Callithrix jacchus: one gene and its partners. The protein of the gene in region 5 purifies or fractionates together with the protein of the main gene of each other region. This does not show direct contact. Links are inferred from orthologs where the notes say so. Each region holds a gene or a part of one and is shown on either strand. Other genes may lie near its edges.

Region 1 (4,305 bases), on a different chromosome or scaffold from region 5:
TCATGCCTATAATCCCAGCACTTTGGGAGGCCGAGGCAGGTGAATCACGAGGTCAAGAGATTGAGACCATCCTGGTCAACAAGCTGAAATCCCATCTCTACTAAAAATACAAAAATTAACTGGGCATGGTGGTACGTGCCTGCAGTCCCAGCTACTCGGGAGGCTGAGGCAGGAGAATTGCTTCAACCCAGAGGGCGGAGGTTGCGGTGAGCCGAGATCGTGCCATTGCACTCCAGTCTGGGTAACAACAGCAAAACTCCATCTCAAAAAAATATATATATATAAATACAAAAATTAGCTGGGTATGCTGACGCACACCTGTAATCACAGATACTTGAGAGGCTGAGGCAGAAGAATTGCTGGAAGCTGGGAGGCAGGGGTTGCAGTGAGCTGAGATCACTCTACTGCACTCAAGCCTGCGAGACGGAGCGAAACTCCATCACAAAAAAACCCATTAGATCAAGCAATGGAAGCTCCTGATTAGATTGAAAGTTCCCAAGGAGAGGGCAAGCTAAGCTTCCCATTCCCCAGTGCCTCATCTGTCACAAAATTCTGCACGAAGCAATCTGCTCAGCCTGACAGATCCCAAGGCCCAGCCTTGCGGTCATCTCTCCAATAGGTTCACCCAGTGGACTAGACTTAATGCTTCTTCTTGACCACAACATCACATCATGAACACTCATTCTGGTCAACACCATGTCCTAGCCACACAGCACAAAGTGTCACTTCAGCATTAACAAATACCGTTGGCTAAATGAATCAACATATAAATCATCAGACTCTGCCCTAGTTGTTCCTCTCTTTCCACACACACCCTTGCCCCCAAATTAAGACACCTTGTCTGATTAACCCTTTGGCCTAATATGGTTATGGGAGCCAGGATATATGCCAACTTAATCCACTTGCTGTCAATGTGCCAACACAGCCCAGTCACTACCAATCTGTTTCAGCATAATGCAGGATTCTTCCCAATATAACATAATCTCAGCATAGCTCAGTCCACTCTAAGACAAGTTATTCCGTATCACCATAACCTACTTTATAGTCAGCCTCAGTACTAATAATGACGATTACCATTCACCAAGAATTTACCGTTTGCCACACACCTGATCTAAGCATTTCATTCTGTGTTTTTTCTCCATGTCACAGATGAGATCAAGACAAAATTTAAATAAATTGTCCAAGGGTATATTGCGGACAACCAGAAGAACCTTTTAAAACCCACACTAACCCAACTTAATCCAGCCTGCCTTCAAAAAAGCAGAGGGTGAGGACCAGGGGGCTCAGTCCCTAAGATTATAAACACAAAAGGGCTTTCTCTGCATTATTTACAAGCCCATCTAGTCCAAGATATCCCTGAATGTCCCAAATTACGTTAGGAGCCCAATCTATTCTAGCACAGCCTACAATGTCCCCACAAGCAGCTGTCTGCACCAATATAGACTAGAATACCCCAATACAGCTGCCTGTACTAGCATGGGCCCCGACAGCCTTGTCTGCCCTTATACAGAGTGCTCCGATAAAACCACGTCTTGCCCCAAGAGAAACCAGGATTAATCAATACAACTCAGTAGAGTCCATAATAACCCAAGCTTCTTTTTTTTTCTTTCTTTCTTTTTTTTGAGACAGAGTCTCCCTCTGTCGCCCAGGCTGGAGTGTAGTGGCACGATCTTGGCTCACTGCAACCTCTGCCTCCTGGGTTCAAGTGATTCTCCTGTCTCGGCCTCCCGAGTTGCTTGGACTACAGGCGTGTGCCACCACATCGGACTAATTTTTTGTATTTTTAGCAGAGAGGGAGTTTCACCGTGTTAGCCAGGATGCTCTCGATCTCTTGACCTCGCGTTCCGCCCGCCCTGGCCTCCCAAAGTGCTGGGATTACAGGCGTGAGCCACCGCGCCCAACCATGGATAAGTTTCTCCGCAATATTCTATTCCAGGGCAACCTAGAACATCCCAATAGAGCACTCTTTGCATCAGTATTGACTAGAATATCCCACCAAAAATCCCGTCTGCTCTAAGTATACGCCAGAATGTCCCAAGTTGATCCAAAATGGCCTTATCTACATCAAAAGATTCCACAATAGCACTAAATAACCTGTGGACAACATGCAGGACTCCTGAGAACGTATTAAACGACCAGACAATGGATCAATTTACTCAGTACAGTCTAGAATACTCCAAAATAAACCAGTATGTCCCCACCTATTCCAGTAGAACGTAATCTTCTCTAATCTGGTTTAGGATATCCTAGTCTGTCCGTGTGCCTCGATCTATCCAAGCATAACCTTGTCCATCCTGGCATAGTCAACCCACCTCAGCATAGTACAATCTGCTCCACCATAGGCCAGAAATTCCCAGTGTGGCCCAAAGTAGATGTGTACCTCTCCACGTCGCCCAATCCACTCTAGCAAAGCCCCCGTCGGTCCTATGCAGGCCTTGCGCTCACCCAAAATCCTGATCCATAGACTTGAAAAAGTACTTGGCGCCCGCGGGCCGCTGCAGAACGCTCTTGAAATCGCCGAGGGTGATGCGCTCGGCAGGGACAGGGATCTTCACCAGGTAGGGAGTCTCTTCTTCATCCAGGTGGTAAATCACCTTCGTCTCCCCAACCCCACCGCCCCCAGTGCTGCTGCCCGCCATGGTCTCGCCCGCGCGCTCCCGGGCTCTGCCGCCCACCCAACCGGGCAAATGGCCCCTGCCGCGCCTGCGCACACACACAAACGGACGCACGAGCGCGGACAGGACCGACCTAGTACAGGAGAAAAGCAAAGGAAAGAAAGCGGGGGTCGGCGAGGGTGGCGGCGGGGGGCGGGCCGCTGGGTGCGACTCAAAGCCACGGTCTCAGCGGTAGCCCGGCGCCATCGCCGCCGACGTTGCGAGCACCTCCAGGTTCCCGCCCACCTCTCCTCATGTCACGTGACCCAAGCCAGCCCACTCTGCGTTGCTCAGCCGCCCCCTCACGTGACCCCCCCATCAGTCACGTGACCGCCGGACTCCTCCTAGCGTCCCCGCCACGTGATCGCTGCCTTCAGCAACGGTCTCCCAGCCCCCAAATGGGTACCCTGGGCGAGGTCCTGCGTGTACCGTGGCTAAGCTGGCCTCTGCCCTCAGGAAGCAGATAATCGGCTTCCACCGTGCTTTACCCGACCCAGGCGGGAACGCGAAGCAACTCTGACCCGCCGGAGTGTGCGTTGCAGGGAGTGAAGATGGGGATTGTGGGGGTTCCTAGACTATAGTAGGGAGGGACAAATACAATGAAAGCTCTAAGGTGGCTTACTCGAGTATCTTGGGGTGGGAAAGGCCCAGTGCCGTGCCATGTTCAGATTGGACTTTGAGAGGTGGTTTTCAGCCCCACCTCCGGCTAGTCTTCAGCCAGCTCTTCCAAAGCCTCCCTCCCAAGCAGGACAGTCAGTGAGGGCTATAAACACAGAAGAGCCCACTCTGCTTTATTTACAACACGCAGGCTGTCTGTACAAACAGCGGCCAATATTATTAAAAACAAAAGAGGTGAATGAGAATCGTCACCTTTCTGCTTTCCTTCGTCACTTGGCCAGGCTCTAGTACTCCACCTTTGAGCTGCCATGCCCAAGAGGGGAAGTCCAAAATTAAAAATACAACCGGTGTAGAAGAAAATAAATGGGGAGTGAAATAAAGAAAAGATGAGGGAGGGAAGTGCTAATATTTACACTAGAGTTTTATAGACAACTGTCCCATTCCATCCCGACCCAGAAAATGATGGTGGCAGGTCCAAGAGACAAGAGATAGTGTCTAGAGACACAGACAGCCTCCCACCCCCAACTGGGTCCAATTTCAAATCCACAGAGTGGGGAGGAAGGAGAGGGTAGGAAAGTGAGACATTCATTTTCAAACAAGTCTCCTTTGGGAATTCCTGCCTTGAAGTTCGGACAGTATCCAAGCTCCAGGGGATAGGCTGAGGTCCCTGAGGCTCAGTTCCCAAATCGAGTTGTCATTTGGAAGTTCCAGCTTAGAGTTGGCGCCGTCAGGGCTCTCCAGATTTGGGAGGCCCCCCTAACCGCCGGGCCTCTGGCCTCAGTTCCTTGCATTTCTGGCAATAAAAGAAGTCAGGGACATTGGTCTTCTTAATCTTAGCACAGGAGAGGTGGATCCACGTCCCACACAGGCTGCACTCAATCATGGGCCGCCCTGCAAAGGGCTTTCGGCAGTAACATGTGATTAGATCCCATGAGTCATCACCTGGGGAAAAAAAGGTTTGGTATTCTGCCAGAGCTGTTTTTGGATTCACAACACCCTCAAACCCATCGCCCCAGCCCAAACCTCTCACCTG
Region 2 (3,525 bases), on a different chromosome or scaffold from region 5:
ATTAAGAAAGATAATAAAAATAATCAAAAAGATAAAAGACTGTTCTTTGAAAAGGCTTGGGTATAAAAGAAATAGACTAAGAGAATTGGGAGCTTTACTTACTGACTCTTCTTTTCAGATCAAATGATTGATAAGACAAAGGTGGAGAAATCTGAAGCCAAAGCTGCAGAGCTGGAAAAGAAGGTGCATATGAGACCAAAAACATGTGTTTGAGTATATCTTGCTTTGAGGATTATTATTTTCCTGACCTGTGAGACACTTTTTTTCTGTGGTATTTTGGAAGCATTTAGCATCGGATGTGTAATTCCCAGGGGAAACCATTCCAGTATAGGTTAGTCATTGGAGAAAGTGATATGGATGTCATTATCAGGAGCTTTCCTGGTGGGTTTACAGTTCTTGGGCTATTAGGCAGGAAAAGAAAGACAGATGATACTCATATAATAGTGATGGGACTCTCAGATTTGCTTGGCATTTTAGGCCTCTTATCCCTAGAACATTAGGAACTGGGGTCCTTTGAACAGTAGAAGTGGAAAATGTCTTTGAGTTTTCTTTTTCTCTTCAATTGTTAAGGACTCTTACTGTGGTTAATAGGTTTTTTTATCCTAGAGAATATTGGGATTGTACTACCATGGCTGACCTAGTTAAATACCTTTAAAATCTTTGTTTTGTTTCTTTTTACTGTAAAAATAGGGAATCTATGGAAATGAACTGATTCCCTTCTCCTTTAATCTTGATTTTAAGGTTAGAATCATGGTGCTTTTTTTCCCCAAGCATAGCCTGAATTTGTGAGCTCTACAGATCAATTCTTGGCCCAAAACAGGAGATGGGGGTTGGGGGCAGATTCCAGCACCCCCAGGCAAAAGAGGAGGTGAGGGGAATTATGAGTAATAGTACTCGTTCTTCTTACTGAGATGGAGAGCTTACTGGGAGCCTGATTTGTTTTTTTTCTCTAGCTGGACTCAGAGTTAACAGCCCGACATGAGCTACAGGTGGAAATGAAAAAGATGGAAAGTGACTTTGAGCAGAAGCTTCAAAATCTTCAGGGAGAAAAGGATGCACTGGATTCTGAAAAGCAACAGATTGCCACAGAGAAACAGGATCTAGAAGCAGAGGTGTCCCAGCTCACAGGAGAGGTAATGCCTGAGCAGGGAAGGCAGAGTGACCTGTAACCTCAAGATGCACATGGCTTAGAATAGGAGTCAATCATCTCACTCCTAGGGAGGGATCAGCTACTAATAGGCAATCTAGTTACATGGTGCATATTTTAAAAATAATATACTGGTTTTTGGTTTGTGTTGGGGGTAATACATAAGACAGAAAATCTGGAAAATACAGATAAACATTAAAAATTAAGGTGATAAATCTTCTAATAAATTAGGAATAAAAACTAAACTGTTACAAATTAGCTGATTTTCTGTTAGTTTAGTCATCTCTGCACAGATTTATCCTTACACACTCCCTGTGCAGTAGTAAATACTTGAATGATCTTTGATATCTGTTAACTTGATTACTTAGGTGGTCATATAATCATCTGTGTAGCACATATATTAGTTATATAACTAAAGCATTCGATTTATTTGACTTTACATTTTCTAATCAAGGGAGAGTTTAACATAAATGTTAAAATTGTCTTTTTAATACAAAGCATTCTGAACTAAGAATATGAAGACCTGAATTCTAGTTTTGTCTCTGCTGCTAAGCAGTGTGACTTTAGGTGATCATGTGATCTCTCTGACTCCTCAGTTTCTCCATTTGTAAAATGAGAAGTTTGGATTAAGTCATTTGTTAGATTCCTTCTAGCCCCAGTAGTCCCTGAAGTGGGGTGAGAAGTACTCACATTGATGTTATACTTGTAGGTTGCCAAGCTGACAAAGGAACTGGAAGATGCCAAGAAAGAAATGGCTTCCCTCTCTGTGGCAGCTGTTGCTATAGCTCCTTCTGTTCCTAGTAGTGCTACTGTTCCCCCTGCCCCTCCTTTACCTGGTGACTCTGGCACTATTATTCCACCACCACCTGCTCCTGGGGGTAGTACCATAGTTCCTCCTCCTCCTCCACCACCACCTCCTTTGCCTGGGGGTGTTTGCATCCCCTCACCCCCTTCTTTACCTGTAGTTACTGCTATCTCTCCACCCTCTTCTTTTCCTGGGGGTGCTAGCATCCCTCCACCCCCTCCTTTGCCTGGGGGTGCTAGCATCCCTCCACCTCCTCCTTTGCCTGGGGGTGCTAGCATCCCTCCACCTCCTCCTTTGCCTGGGGGTGCTAGCATCCCTCCACCTCCTCCTTTGCCTGGGGATGCTAGCATCCCTCCACCTCCTCCTTTGCTTGGTGGTGCTGGAATCCCCCCACCACCCCCTCCTTTGCCTGGGGGTGCTAGCATCCCTCCACCCCCTCCTTTGCCTGGGGGTGCTAGCATCCCTCCACCTCCTCCTTTGCTTGGTGGTGCTGGAATCCCCCCACCGCCGCCTCCTTTGCCTGGTGGTGCTGGAATCCCCCCACCACCTCCTCCCTTGCCTGGGGGAGTAGGAATACCACCTCCTCCTCCCCCTCTTCCTGGTGGTCCTGGAATCCCTCCACCTCCTCCTTTTCCTGGAGGCCCTGGTATTCCTCCACCTCCACCTGGCATGGGTATGCCTCCACCTCCCCCATTTGGATTTGGAGTTCCTGCAGCCCCAGTTCTGCCATTTGGATTAACCCCCAAAAAGCTTTATAAGCCAGAGGTGCAGCTCCGGAGGCCAAACTGGTCCAAGGTAAGAATCTCTATTTCTTCACCAGTAGATCTTTTTTTTTTTTTTTTAATTTTTGAGACGAAGTCTCATTCTTGTTGCCTAGATTGGAGTACAGTGGCATGATCTCGGCTCACTGCAGCCTCTGCCTCCCAGGTTCAAGTGATTCTCCTGCCTTAGCCTCCTGAGTAGCTGGTACTACAGGCGCTTGCTACCACACCCAGATAACTTATTTATTTTATTTTTAGTAGAGATGGGGCTTAACCATGTTAGCCAGGATGGTCTCAATCTCCTGACCTTGTGAGCCACCCACCTCAGCCTCCTAAAGTACTGGGATTAAAGGCATGAGCTGCTGTGTCTGGCCTCACCAGTTGATCTTAAGAAACCATTTTACTACCAATTTTCTACTTTGTATTTTGTGCATGGATGGGCTGCACCTCCCTTATGGCTTACATCTTTCTGTCTTCAAGTTTCACTCATGCTTATGTTTATTCAGCAGATATTAGGCATCTTCTATATGCCATACATCACCATGGAGAGTTCTGTGAACCCTGTACTCTGAATTTAATCTTAACTAAACTTATACTTCATGTTTTCTGCCTTTTCTCTGAGGCTGTCAATACCATGGTAACACACAGTTTGATAATAGTCATTCACCAGTCTGCAAGCTACTGATAATTGTGCTGATCCAAAAGTCATGGATTTATGAATCCACTCTACACCAGTTTCATAGTATATAAATTACTCAGCCCATATTTGCATGCACAGTATTGTTCCCATGATGTGTTTGAGATGCCTGTGA
Region 3 (3,674 bases), on a different chromosome or scaffold from region 5:
GGAGAAAACATTAATAAAAGCATCATTATGTAAGTATCTAAATACTTTGATTTTAAATTATAACTTACCATATAAGGAATATTCTGCTTCCTGACCTGTGTCACTCTCACTGGAGGTTGATGTGAGGCTGGTGGTTAAAGTATTACTTAATGATTGACCAACTGATAAAACTGTGGTTGCTGTAGCTACATTGCTGCTACTAGTAACACTGGATGTTGACATAGTCACTGTTGATGTAGTACCAGGTGTGGTCAAATTAGGGAAACTCTGAGCACCCATAAGAGGAGAAGCTAAAGATAAAAATGAAGCAAATCAGTAAAAATAGGTGAGATTTTAGAAACCTTAGAAAAACGAAGTTTTATATTTTTTAAAGAGTGAGATCATAAAACACACTAATAATAAAATGGTTCCTGAAAAGCAACAACTTTGGGAACCCAACTGAAATCCAACTAAAAATTATTTTTATAGCACTATTATATTTTTAAATATTATGCCTAACATTTTTAAAGAAATGAAACAAGCAATGAAATAATTCCCTATGTCTTTTCCAAGGGAATTACTTTGACCTGTTAGCAGCTTAGATCGGAATTTGAATTTAAGAAGCTATGATCAATGTAGAGTCTAAATAAAAGCTATACTCATGATTCTTTAGTTTCACTGCACTATGATAATATTTAATAGTCATCTATTTCCTCATTAACTTTGCTTGATTTATCATAAAAGAGTGAAAATCAGAAGTATTGTTTTATCCTTCTAGAATAAGAGGCTCTTTATCATACCTAATCTGAATTCTTAAAAATATTATGATTCTAGAGAACTTAACTTCATATTCCTGAAGTGCTAAATTTGATGTAGCTTTATCTAATATGGTTAATGATCTAGTTAAAAACTGCAGCCAGAACAAGAGACCCTACTTTGCATCCCTCCAAGTGGAAAAAGCATTGGGTTCCAGAAGGAAAAGCTCACTTACTTGCTGTGCTCATCACATTCCTCCCCAAAGTATTAGTGTTGTTATCACTGCTGCTTCGGCTTAGATTCATGTTGTTCGTGGCATTAGTCCGTGCTATGTTTGCCACTCTCCTTACAAAACTCTCCAAGCTAGATGTTTCTCTTGAGGACAGGTTAGGTACACTTGCACTAGAGCTCATAGGGGCCCCAGCAGCCAACAAAGAACTCACTGACAGTCTGTTACTTGCTGAAGAGCTAAGAGGTCGTTGTGAAGCTGCTTCTTTATTAGTTAATTCAGATACTGAACTAACATCAGGAGAACTAACACTGACAATTCCCATGGATATTGCACTAGACTCCCCAGGAGTACGAACAGAACTATCAGGGCCTAACTTCCTTTCAGCATTTTCACTTCCCGTTTCCGCTGTTAAGGTGCTGGTGCTTGCACTGGAAGATGACCCTACTTCTGTTTGAGGGACGTTTTCAGCAGATGAAAGAACAACAATTGGTTCATGGACATCAGCTCCTGAAACTATACTGTGTTCCATTACAATTTCTGATCTCCGTTCCGTTTTGGTCGAACCCAAGCTGATGTCGCTGCTACTGGCCACGCTACACACAGAACTGCTGCTTCCTTTTCTACTTGAGGAGCCTGCAGCAGCAGATGTCTTGTCTGGACAGTTGTTTTTCACCAAGCTGCTCCATGATTGCGTTGTGCCTGAAACAGTGGATGAAACAGGTTTGGGTGATGCCACTGTATCAGGGTCGTACCCTGGTGCAAGCTTGAGGTCAAATTTTCCTTCTGCGCCCATACGGTAAGAGTTTGAGCCACCAGCATCCCAGGTGACATCAATCCAGCCTGGAAAGGGACAGGAGTTTGTGAGACCCAGCAGAAAGCAGATAGGAGCGTGTCAGACAGTAGCTCCACAATATGGGATCAGTTTTTAATCAGTGCTGTCCTTTTGTGAATTTCTATAGTCAATCAAGGTCCGCCAACTAAAATATATGCAAATGTTTGGATTCAATTATTTGACTATGACTAGCTATCTGAAAGTCTATATTATTTAACTCTCATGATAAAAAATATGTTAAGGACAAGAAATATGTACTGTATACAAGGTTTCTGGGAAATGTTTAAAGTTCTTCCTTTTATTTCCCTTATTTCTGAACTATTCAGTCTATGACATTTAAAAGCAATGCAAGGGTTATGTTTAAATCTACTGGGTTATTTTTCATTTTAAAAATTATTCAATTTTGAGAGATGAGGTCTTGCTATGTTGCCCTTGCTAGTCTTGAACTCCTGGGCTTAAATCATCCTCCCATCTCAGCCTCTTGAGTAACTGAGATTTCAGATGTGAGTTACCGCACCTGGCTTGGTTACTTCTTAAATGGAAGAACTGTTTAAGAATTTTAAGACTGATATACATGGTAAAATACTGCCACTTCAGCAAGTAAACAGAATCTAAGTAAAAGTTTTTAAATTGCTAAAGATAATTATGTGTGGTTAAATGTTCTTTCTACTAGAAAAACATACCAGCTTACCGTTAATTTCTTACCATTAATTTGGGCTAACCTCTTAAAATATTCACATATTACTACAGAAATTTTAGGTCACTAGCTCAAATAAAACACTAAAGTTAGCATTTCGGTTGTGTTCTCAAAGTTCAGTGGTTCCTTGGTTCTCTTGTATTAAATAATTAAGTTCAATAAATTTGAATAAGCACAGAAAATTCTAAAGAAAATTTAAAGATCATACTGAGTCCTTTTATTAGAAATTGTCTGCTAAAGCTAATAACATGTACAGAACTAATGAGCATAATGATATTCAATCTATATATTTACTTGTAGTTAAAAAATAATAGTTATTCTTTTATAAAAAGGTAATTAACTTCCAAAAGCAAAAAAAAATTGTCTATTAAAAGGAAATTAATAGAAATTTTACAAGCTTATTTTAGTGTTATAAGCCAACTATTTCAGGGAAAAACATAAGATATAAAAAAGCATCTTTATTAAAGTATAACAAGCCTTTATAAAGTTTTTACTCACACATAAAAGGGGCCCAAGCTCACATACGCACCCATCCACACACCCAGATGCCCACCCACGCATACACCAAGTTCATGTATGTTTATGATGGCGCTCAGAGGGAAATAATATTGAATTACCTGTGGAGATTATCTGCATAGGTGTTCTTTGAAAGAAAATTTAACTGCCCCAAATCTATATAAGGAGTTTAGATGAGATTTTTCAATTGCCTCTATTTTTTTTTTTTGTAGGCTGAAAAAAATCTCTGAAGAACCAACATTTAACTATCTCTTCTGCTACACAGAAATGTGTAAGAAAATGAAAAGGTTCAAAAACATATCCCAATCTCAAATAAAAATGACTTTTGTATTGTATTAATTGGCCCAAAAAAATACTCTCTCAACTCCTTCTATACCCAAAAGATAGATTAAAAAAAAGAAGAAGAAAAAAAAAGAGTCAGTAATGCCTAGCCATCATTAGAAATGATTGGGTTAAGCATCTGAAAGCTAAGAATCCTCTTTGACATAGAGACTGAAAGGCATAACTTGATGGGAACCACCATGTTGGTTAGCCAAAACTAAATTTCTACATTCGTCAGATCAGCAAAAATAAGCCTTTCTTGAATGCTAAACTCTGAAATTAAGATTCTATGCTAGATTTCTTTTTCCTATCTGTGGCAGCTAATAATCATCATCATCACT
Region 4 (4,327 bases), on a different chromosome or scaffold from region 5:
CCGACCTTGGCTATGAGTTAATAATTGTTAGAGCTGAGTGACTAATACATGGGGTTCTACATACTATTCAATTTTTGCATATTTTCCAGAATAAAAAAACTTTTAAAAAATGGTATTCGAAATACCATTTCCCTATTGCAATATGCCATTGTGATACAGCAATAGAAGACATGCTTTATACGGCTTGTGTACTAGTTGTTTGGTTACGTGGTGGTGTTTTGTTTTGAGACGGAGTTTGCGACAGCCCAGGCTGGAGAGCAATGGCGCTATCTCTGCTCACTGCAACCTCCACCTCCCAGGTTCAAGCGATTCTCCTGCCTCAGCCTGCCGAGTAGCTGGGATTACAGGCACCCGCCACCACACCCGGCTACTTTTTGTATTTTTAGTAGAGATGAAGTTTCACCATGTTGGCTAGGATGGTCTCGATCTCCTGACCTCGTGATCCACCCGCCTCCACCTCCCAAAGTGCTGGGATTACAGGCGTGAGCCACTGTGCCCTGCCTGCTTACTTTTTTTTTTTTTTTTGAGACGGAGTTTCACTCTTGTTACCCAGGCTGGAGTGCAACGGCGCGATCTCGGCTCACCGCAACCTCCGCTTCCTGGGTTCAGGCAATTCTCCTGCCTCAGCCTCCTGAGTAGCTGGGATTACAGGCACACGCCACCGTGCCCAGCTAATTTTTTTTTTTGTATTTTTAGTAGAGACGGGGTTTCACCATGTTGACCAGGATGGTCTCAATCTCTTGACCTCGTGATCCACCCGCCTCGGCCTCCCAAAGTGCTGGGATTACAGGAAAGCAACCGCGCCTGACCCACATGTTTTAAAAGAGCAATTCAGGCCAGGAGCGATGGCAGGCACCTGTAATCCCAGCTACTCAGGAGGCTGAGGCAGGAGAATCGTTTGAACTTGGGAGGCAGAAGTTGCAGTGAGCCGACTGCACTCCAGCCTGGGAGACAAGAGTGAGACTCCATCTCCAAAAAAAAAAAAGGCTGTAAGAAAATTCTAGGAAAATTTGTCAAAAACAAGGAGGGCACTTTGCCACATGTGTGTTATTAAAAGATGGTTATAAATCAAAATATTTTCAGTTCACTAAGGAAATTCAATGCCTACAACGATACAGGAGGATCACTCAGGTAAACACACACTCCTTACTCGTATAAAATTTAACATTCATAAGTTGCATTTCCTTTGAGTACACCTATAAAACTAAGTACAAAAGTTTTTAAAACCCAGTATCCTTTAATAAAGTTGCTGTTCTAAAAATCCCACCTGTCACCAGGATAACCGAAACTGCTCCCTCTACACTCCAACTATATTTTTAGTTTTTACCTCAACAAGTAGCAACGTAATTTACATTTGGTAAGCACGGATTCCTGAAAGGCCAAAATCAACCAGGAACCTGATTTAACTGTTTCCACCACGTTCTGAACAATGAAAGCTACAAGCAGAAGAGAAGTGTGACCCCTTAAAAAGGTCCACACGGCCAAAGAACAGTGGCAGGACAGACCGAAGTACGTATCTTCGCGGAACCCAAGAAAACTTCCCACACAAGCAATACTGCAACAAGGAGGCGGGGCCAGGGCTTAAAAGGAAAGTCAGCCATCAGGGAGGGGGGGAATAAAAGCAAAGCTTCGGTGAAAAAACTTAAGAGATGTAGAGCAAGAAAAGACAGACAAATTTTTCCATTTTCGTACACCCCCCCTTCAAAGCCTGACACACTGCAAGTGCTCCAGATAGGTCTGCTTAACACAAGGGAAGCTTCTGCCAGCAACTTTCCCAGAAATGGAATGACAAGAAGCTGGATGATGGCCGGGCGGGGGGAAATGGACAGGTTGCTCATCCTGCGGGAGCTGGTGAATATCCTGCAGTTGGCTAAGCGGAGGAGATGGAAAGAAATAGCATCTATCGTTTACAGACTGCCAACTACAGTGTTCCAATTAAGCGTATGCCTCTTTCAGATGTTAACAACTCAAAACAATGCCCTGGCTCTGGACACGGGCACGCGCAACACTGAGCCTCTAAGAAACCCAAACGGATAGGTAGGTCAACTTCTATCCACTCTACCCATTAAATTATCCTTCATATCACGCTAATAAATTATGCAGACGGTTTATTGGGACACGCTGTGGGTCTGGCACTCTGATAAGCGCTTTACACGCCCCATTTCACTGAACCCTAACAGCCATAAGAGGCAGGGACTGTATCAGCAGCCCCTTTTCCAACCAGGACACAAAGAGTTTAAGTGTCTTGCCTAATGGGGCAGAGCCGGGATTAGCACCCGTTTTGGACACCTGGGCGGTGCTCTTAACCACTAAGCTGCAGACCTGGGCCGGCGAGACTGAGAGGCTCCAGTTCTCGGGGACCTAAAACGGGGACCCCCCACCCCCAGCTTCAGCCCCGGGAATAACTTCGGCATCCCCGCGCGCGCCATGCGGGACGAGGAAAGGCGGCCACGGCACCTGTTTGTGACCCCGGCGAGGGCTGAAGCGGATGGGGGCGCCCGGGGGCCAGGCCTCAGGGCGCCCCGAGGCGGGGGGCGCAGGAGGACCCGCCTCCTCCGGGAAGGCCCCGCGGGCTGGAGAGAGGCCCGGGGGAAGGCGGCGGGGCGCGCAGGCCCGCCAAGGCCTAGGCCCCACCCGCCGCCCACTCCCCACCGCCGCGGCGCCAGCGCGGGCCCCGCCAGGCCCGGCCGGGCCGGGCCGCCTCACCTGGCTGCTGCCCCGAGCTCGTCCCCCGGCCGGCGGTCCTGGGCGGCGGCGGCGAGGAGGGGAAGGGAAGGAAAAAAGGAGAGGAGGACGGGACGAAGGGAGGGAAGAGGCGGAGTGGCCACGGAGAAGGCGGGCGCCGCCGGGCTGGGGGGGGGGTCAAAGGAAGGGGGAGCCGAGTAAGACACGGCAGCCGCCAGCGCAAACGCTGAAGAGCCGCTCCGGCGCCCGCAGCCCGGCAGGAAGTGACGGGGGAGGGGCCGGCGCCCGCCCCCGGCCCCCGCCCGCCGCCACCCCCACCCGCGGCCAGGACCACAAGTTCCGGCGGGCGCTGCGGCACAACCTGCGCTCGCAAGGCACGCCGGTAGCCCAGCGGGAGTGAAGCCATGTCCGGTTTGAGCCGCTGCGGCCAGCCCTGGGGCCCCGGGGCCTGCCGGGAATTGTAGTTCCGGTGGGAGTTTCGCGCTGCCTGCTGGACTAGTAGCGGGGCTGGGAGAACCAGCCTGCCTTCTTTTCCTCCACTTCCTTCTTCCTTCCTTCTCTCGGTTCTTCCTCTTCTCCTGCCTCTGGCCCTCGTTTCTCTCCTTCCCGCAATGTTTCTTCCTTCATCTGTAAATGTTCATTAAATGCTTGCTGTATGCAAGGCATTCCGCCAAGAGCTAGGGATGTAGTGGTGAACAGACAAAAATCCCTGCCCTCGTGGAGCTTACATTCTTGTGTGAGTAAAACACACAATAAATAAATTTAGAAAATTTGGCCGGGCGCGGTGACTCACGCTTGTAATCCCAGCACTTTGGGAGGCCGAGGCGGGTGGATCACGAGGTCTGGAAATTGAGACCATCATGGCCAACATGGTGAAACCCCGTCTCTACTAAAAATACAAAAATTAGCCGGACGTGGTGGCGGGCGCCAGATATGTCAGCTACTGGAGAGGCTGAGGCAGGAGAATCGCTCGAAGCAGGGAGTCGGAGGTTTCGGTGAGCCAAGATCGCGCCGCTGCACTCTGGCCTGGGTGACAGAGCGAGACTCTGTCTCAAAGAAAAAATAAAATTTATAGTGAGATAAAAGAAGTGCCAGATTGCTATTTCTTTTATCCACATCTAGATAAACTACGTGGTTTGTAGCAGCCATGTTATATGGGAGGTTGGAGGGAGAACAGGGTGGCCAGTAGAGAATATTGAACTTCTGGAATCACACTCAGCGAAAATTATGCTCGCGTTGTGAGAGGTCCAGGAAACGGAGAATGAGTGAAGAACTGCAAGTGCACAGGGCTCCTCTCTCCTGCTCACTCGAACTGCTTCCCTGCTATTTAAAAATAATTATCTCTCTCTCAGATATCTCTCAGTTTAAATATTGCTCAATCTCTCTTGCCAAAGGAATATAAATTCAGAATATGAGCGGCTGTGTCTGAAGAAGCCCCTCCAAACGAGGCTTTGGAGCCTTATCCAAGGCTGGGAGGACACCTTTCTCTAGACAAGACCTCCTTACATTGCTTCTTCTGAAGTGCAATGAGACTGAGTTTCAGAACACCGAAAATAGTCAAAGGACTTTCACCGTTCCTTTAGTGCCCATCCAAGACAGTACTTAGGAACATTCAGATATTGTCCAGCCCTCTGCTGAAAGT
Region 5 (3,674 bases):
TATGTTGCCCAGGCTGGTCTCAAAGGCCCAAAGGCTAAGATGAGCTCAAGCAATCCTCCCATCTCAGCCTCCCAAAGTGCTGGAATTACAGGTGTGAGCCACCACTCCTGGCGAGATAAGCCCTTTCAGTGAGTCAGCAAATTGCCTGGCATCCAGGAACATGGAAAGCAGAATTATGTAGAATAGTGTTATTCAAAGTGTAGACCAGTGCCAGTCTACAATCCAATCAAAGACAAAGAGAATGAGTCAGAATGCGAATTAATACACTGCTTCTTTCATTGAGAAAATCTTGCTATTAAAAAAACTATCAGTTAAACTAAACATTGTGCACAGATGATTTTCCATTACTGGTCTGTAAACCACACTTTGAATAGCAATGGTGTGGAGAGCTGCTACTCCTCCTATGCCCAGAGAGCTTCATGCATGATCCAACCCTACTCTGCAACAAGAAAAATCCACAACAGACCGTGTTGCTCACATCTCCATTTCCCATCCCTCTAGGTCCTTGCCCAAGATGAATAAAACCAGAAATGTTTTGGCATTCTGAACTCCCTTTTCCCAGCATTACCCATATTTGATTGGCATACTTTTGCTTTTGATAAATTAATGGTGGTGGTTTATGCTACAGCCCTGACTCAGTTATCTCCTGTAATATGTTAATTCAGTTAGCCCAACTCTCAGTATTTCAGGGCAGCTCACCCCACACCATTTTCTTGTTCCTTTAATAAAACACAGTGATCTCACCCAATCTGTATGAGCCTTCTCATTCAATTGCATCCCTAGTTATGCCTTTTAGGTCCTAACCCCCCCACCTCAGAGTGTTCAGACATGAACACTCTGCACCTAGCTCTTAGTAAGTCTGGCTTCATCTTAGCCTTTAGGCCTCAGCTAAATGAAATTTTATCTTCTGGGACAAGCTTTCCCTAATCACCCAACCTATGTTAGCTCCCTCTTATAGTCTCCACTACAGAACCCTATATAAAACTTCATGAAACTTTCCTCAATGTTTAATTATACTTTTATTTTTATGTACCTGGTTGGTGTCTCTTCCACCCAATGACCTAAGAAGAGAGGGCAGGGGGCATGTCTGTTTCACTCATTATTGCATTACTGTATACATCTCTAACACAATGCCTGGCACACAGTAAGTACTCAAACATTTGTTAAATACGTGAATTTATTACAAGGTCAACAACTCATAAAGCACAGTTTTCTAAAGAAAAACTATCTGAGGCTGGGCCCGGTGGCTCACGCCTGTAATCCCAGCACTTTGGGAGGCTGAGTCAGACGAATCACTTGAGGTCAGGAGTTCGAGACCAGCCTGGTCAACATGGCAAAACCCTGTTTCTAATAAAAATACAAAAATTAGACAGATGTGGTCACATGCCTGTAACCCATCTACTCGGGAGGCTAAAGCATGAGAACTGCTTGAACCCAGGAGGTGGCGCTGCAGTGAGCCGAGGTCCTGTCATAGCATTTCAGCCTGAGTGACAAGAGTGAAACTCCATCTCAAAAGAAAATTAAAAAAAAGAAAAACTATTTGAACTAGTATTAGTTTATAAATAAAGAGGGTGGAAAAAAGAGGGAAAGAAAGTAACAACATAAAGAAAAGTGTTATGGTTATCATACCTTGCCTCTCCTGTCTGAGACTCCATCTGATTAACCCAAGATTTGTAAATATCCACAGGGTCAGTTTTGATGTTGAGAGATTTGTCATCCATAATTTCCTTCACGACTGGGGCCAAGATCTGTCTCAGGGCATTCTGGCCACGGGCACCACGGTTGAAACTTACAACCATTTTAATAACTGTAGGATTTCCTGTCACAATCTCTTGAATCTGATCTACCTTTGACCTATAAAACATCAGATAAAAATTTAAACTTGTCACAGAATCCGTCAATGAAAAGATCCTTCCTGCTTAAAGATCCTATCTCATAGAAACAGAGTTTCTCTCGAATCATTGCCCAGCACTCACAGAACGTTCTTGTGGCTGTACACTGAATCATGGTCAGTTAGGTCCCCTACTAGAGAAAAATGCAAAATCTTTCTGTTGAGATCACTTTTTGAAATTATACCTTAATACAGAATGTTCCTAAAATTAATTTATCCCCTCCCTAGAAGCAGCAAGATTTTGTATTATTAAAAAATTAGATGCTTCTTTAGAGTAAGTATTTTTCATAAATTAATTGAGAACAACAAAGGTCTGAAAGGCATGAATTTCAAACTGGGGTCCCCAGTGATAGTAGGAAGGGTCTGTGCCCTGAGGAAATCTGTTCATACTTGATTTCCTCCTGGAGCGCTGTCTTAAAGAGCCGCAGAAGCAGGTACTCCTCTCGCTGGTTGGATGCATAGTTGTAGAGTGTGAAGATCACAGAGTCCATGAACTTGGTAGACTTGTTCTGGGGCATCTGAAAAATTAGCTTGGCCAGATAGGTGGGATTGGTCTGAAATAAAACCAAGGGATAAGTCATTTATAGGTAATATGAAAGCTGGCAAGATATATTTAATTCTTTAAAATTGAAGAACTAGAAGATACATGAGAAAAAAAATTAATAAATTAAAATATTACAATGCCCGTCACTTACCCCTCAGTGGAAGTCAAAAGTATTTCCAGAGAGATTGATGGGTAAGGTTTTCTTGTGGAAAAGTAAATTTGCTAAATTTTTATAACACTGATTCCAGGAGCCACTTACTTGCAATAAATAAAACAGGTGCTGGTAAGCTTCCAACTTCTCTCTCTTCTCCTTGCTCAAAGCCTTGAGACCTCCCTTCTGTTTATTTATCATCATCATATCAGACAATTGTTCCTTATTTTTTTTGGTAAGTTTTTTACTGTGGGAGACCACATCCTACAAACAAAAACCAATACACACATGAGAAAGCTTTCAAAGATGAACCTCTGGGCAATGTGGAAAGGTCTTATAGCATGTGCAAGCTCACATGACAGTCGACTGCACTGGCAGGTTCCCACTAAAGATTTTAAAATCACTACATTTTATCCTGTTTTCAGTACACCAATCAAATCCATTCCTATGTTCTGACAAAGAACCTGAGCCATAAGAATGTACACTGAATTGGGAAAACAACTTCTAGCAATCTATTACAAAAAGACTTATTACAAAATTAAGTCTTAAATACAATAAAAGCTACATATATATTGAAATATCAATTGTGATGTTATTTATAATAAACACTTGGTAAACAGCCTAAATGTCAAATACCAGGAAGAGAAAAGGGGCAAATCATAGTATATCTTCTAACAATCTATTATGCTACTGTTAAAAATAATATTTACAGCCTGGTGCAGTAGCTCACACCTGTAATCCCAGCACTTTGAGAGGCTGAGACAGGAGGATCACTTGAGCCCAAGAGTTCGAGACCAGCCTGGACAACACAGAGGGATCCCATCTCTTACAAAAATAAAATAATTAGCCAGGTGTGGTGGCATGCACTGGTCGTCCGAGCTACTTGAGAGGCTGAAGTGAGACAATCACTCAAACCCAGGAGGTTGAGGTTGCAGTGAGCCATGATCATGCCACTGCACTCCAGCCTGGGGTACAGAAGGAGACTCTGTCTCAAAAAAATAAAAGATGTATGACTATTTATCATAGGGAAAGAGTCTTATCCTCTGATATGAAGTAAGAACATGAGATACAAAACGAGTGGGGTAAGT

What was found.
Region 1: the proteins of IQGAP1 (region 5) and DVL2 purify together in Homo sapiens (affinity purification with western blotting; 3 studies listed by BioGRID, with this or other methods). This does not show direct contact. The link is inferred for Callithrix jacchus from reciprocal best matches to the Homo sapiens genes IQGAP1 and DVL2.
Region 2: the proteins of IQGAP1 (region 5) and protein diaphanous homolog 1 purify together in Homo sapiens (affinity purification with western blotting; 3 studies listed by BioGRID and IntAct, with this or other methods). This does not show direct contact. The link is inferred for Callithrix jacchus from reciprocal best matches to the Homo sapiens genes IQGAP1 and DIAPH1.
Region 3: the proteins of IQGAP1 (region 5) and HECTD1 purify together in Homo sapiens (affinity purification with mass spectrometry; 3 studies listed by BioGRID, with this or other methods). This does not show direct contact. The link is inferred for Callithrix jacchus from reciprocal best matches to the Homo sapiens genes IQGAP1 and HECTD1.
Region 4: the proteins of IQGAP1 (region 5) and STAU1 purify together in Homo sapiens (affinity purification with mass spectrometry; 4 studies listed by BioGRID and IntAct, with this or other methods). This does not show direct contact. The link is inferred for Callithrix jacchus from reciprocal best matches to the Homo sapiens genes IQGAP1 and STAU1.

The regions. Positions count from the first base shown.
Region 1 is NC_133506.1:73,724,562-73,728,866, forward strand, and holds the start of DVL2 (segment polarity protein dishevelled homolog DVL-2), read right to left. Parts: upstream 2,904-4,305; 5' UTR 2,640-2,903; coding exon 2,446-2,639; intron 2,414-2,445; exon of another isoform or gene 2,321-2,413; coding exon of another isoform or gene 2,313-2,320; intron 1-2,312. Other genes in the region: PHF23 (PHD finger protein 23), read right to left, coding at 4,000-4,214, 4,303-4,305.
Region 2 is NC_133503.1:40,004,483-40,008,007, reverse strand, and holds part of protein diaphanous homolog 1, read left to right. Parts: intron 1-118; coding exon 119-183; intron 184-953; coding exon 954-1,133; intron 1,134-1,856; coding exon 1,857-2,747; intron 2,748-3,525. UniProt on the Homo sapiens protein: Actin nucleation and elongation factor required for the assembly of F-actin structures, such as actin cables and stress fibers. Binds to the barbed end of the actin filament and slows down actin polymerization and depolymerization.
Region 3 is NC_133509.1:65,522,199-65,525,872, forward strand, and holds part of HECTD1 (E3 ubiquitin-protein ligase HECTD1), read right to left. Parts: intron 1,808-3,674; coding exon 971-1,807; intron 291-970; coding exon 69-290; intron 1-68. UniProt on the Homo sapiens protein: E3 ubiquitin-protein ligase which accepts ubiquitin from an E2 ubiquitin-conjugating enzyme in the form of a thioester and then directly transfers the ubiquitin to targeted substrates.
Region 4 is NC_133506.1:44,266,195-44,270,521, forward strand, and holds the start of STAU1 (double-stranded RNA-binding protein Staufen homolog 1), read right to left. Parts: upstream 2,951-4,327; 5' UTR 2,707-2,950; intron 1-2,706. UniProt on the Homo sapiens protein: Binds double-stranded RNA (regardless of the sequence) and tubulin.
Region 5 is NC_133507.1:19,924,029-19,927,702, forward strand, and holds part of IQGAP1 (ras GTPase-activating-like protein IQGAP1), read right to left. Parts: intron 2,851-3,674; coding exon 2,695-2,850; intron 2,446-2,694; coding exon 2,282-2,445; intron 1,855-2,281; coding exon 1,630-1,854; intron 1-1,629. UniProt on the Homo sapiens protein: Plays a crucial role in regulating the dynamics and assembly of the actin cytoskeleton.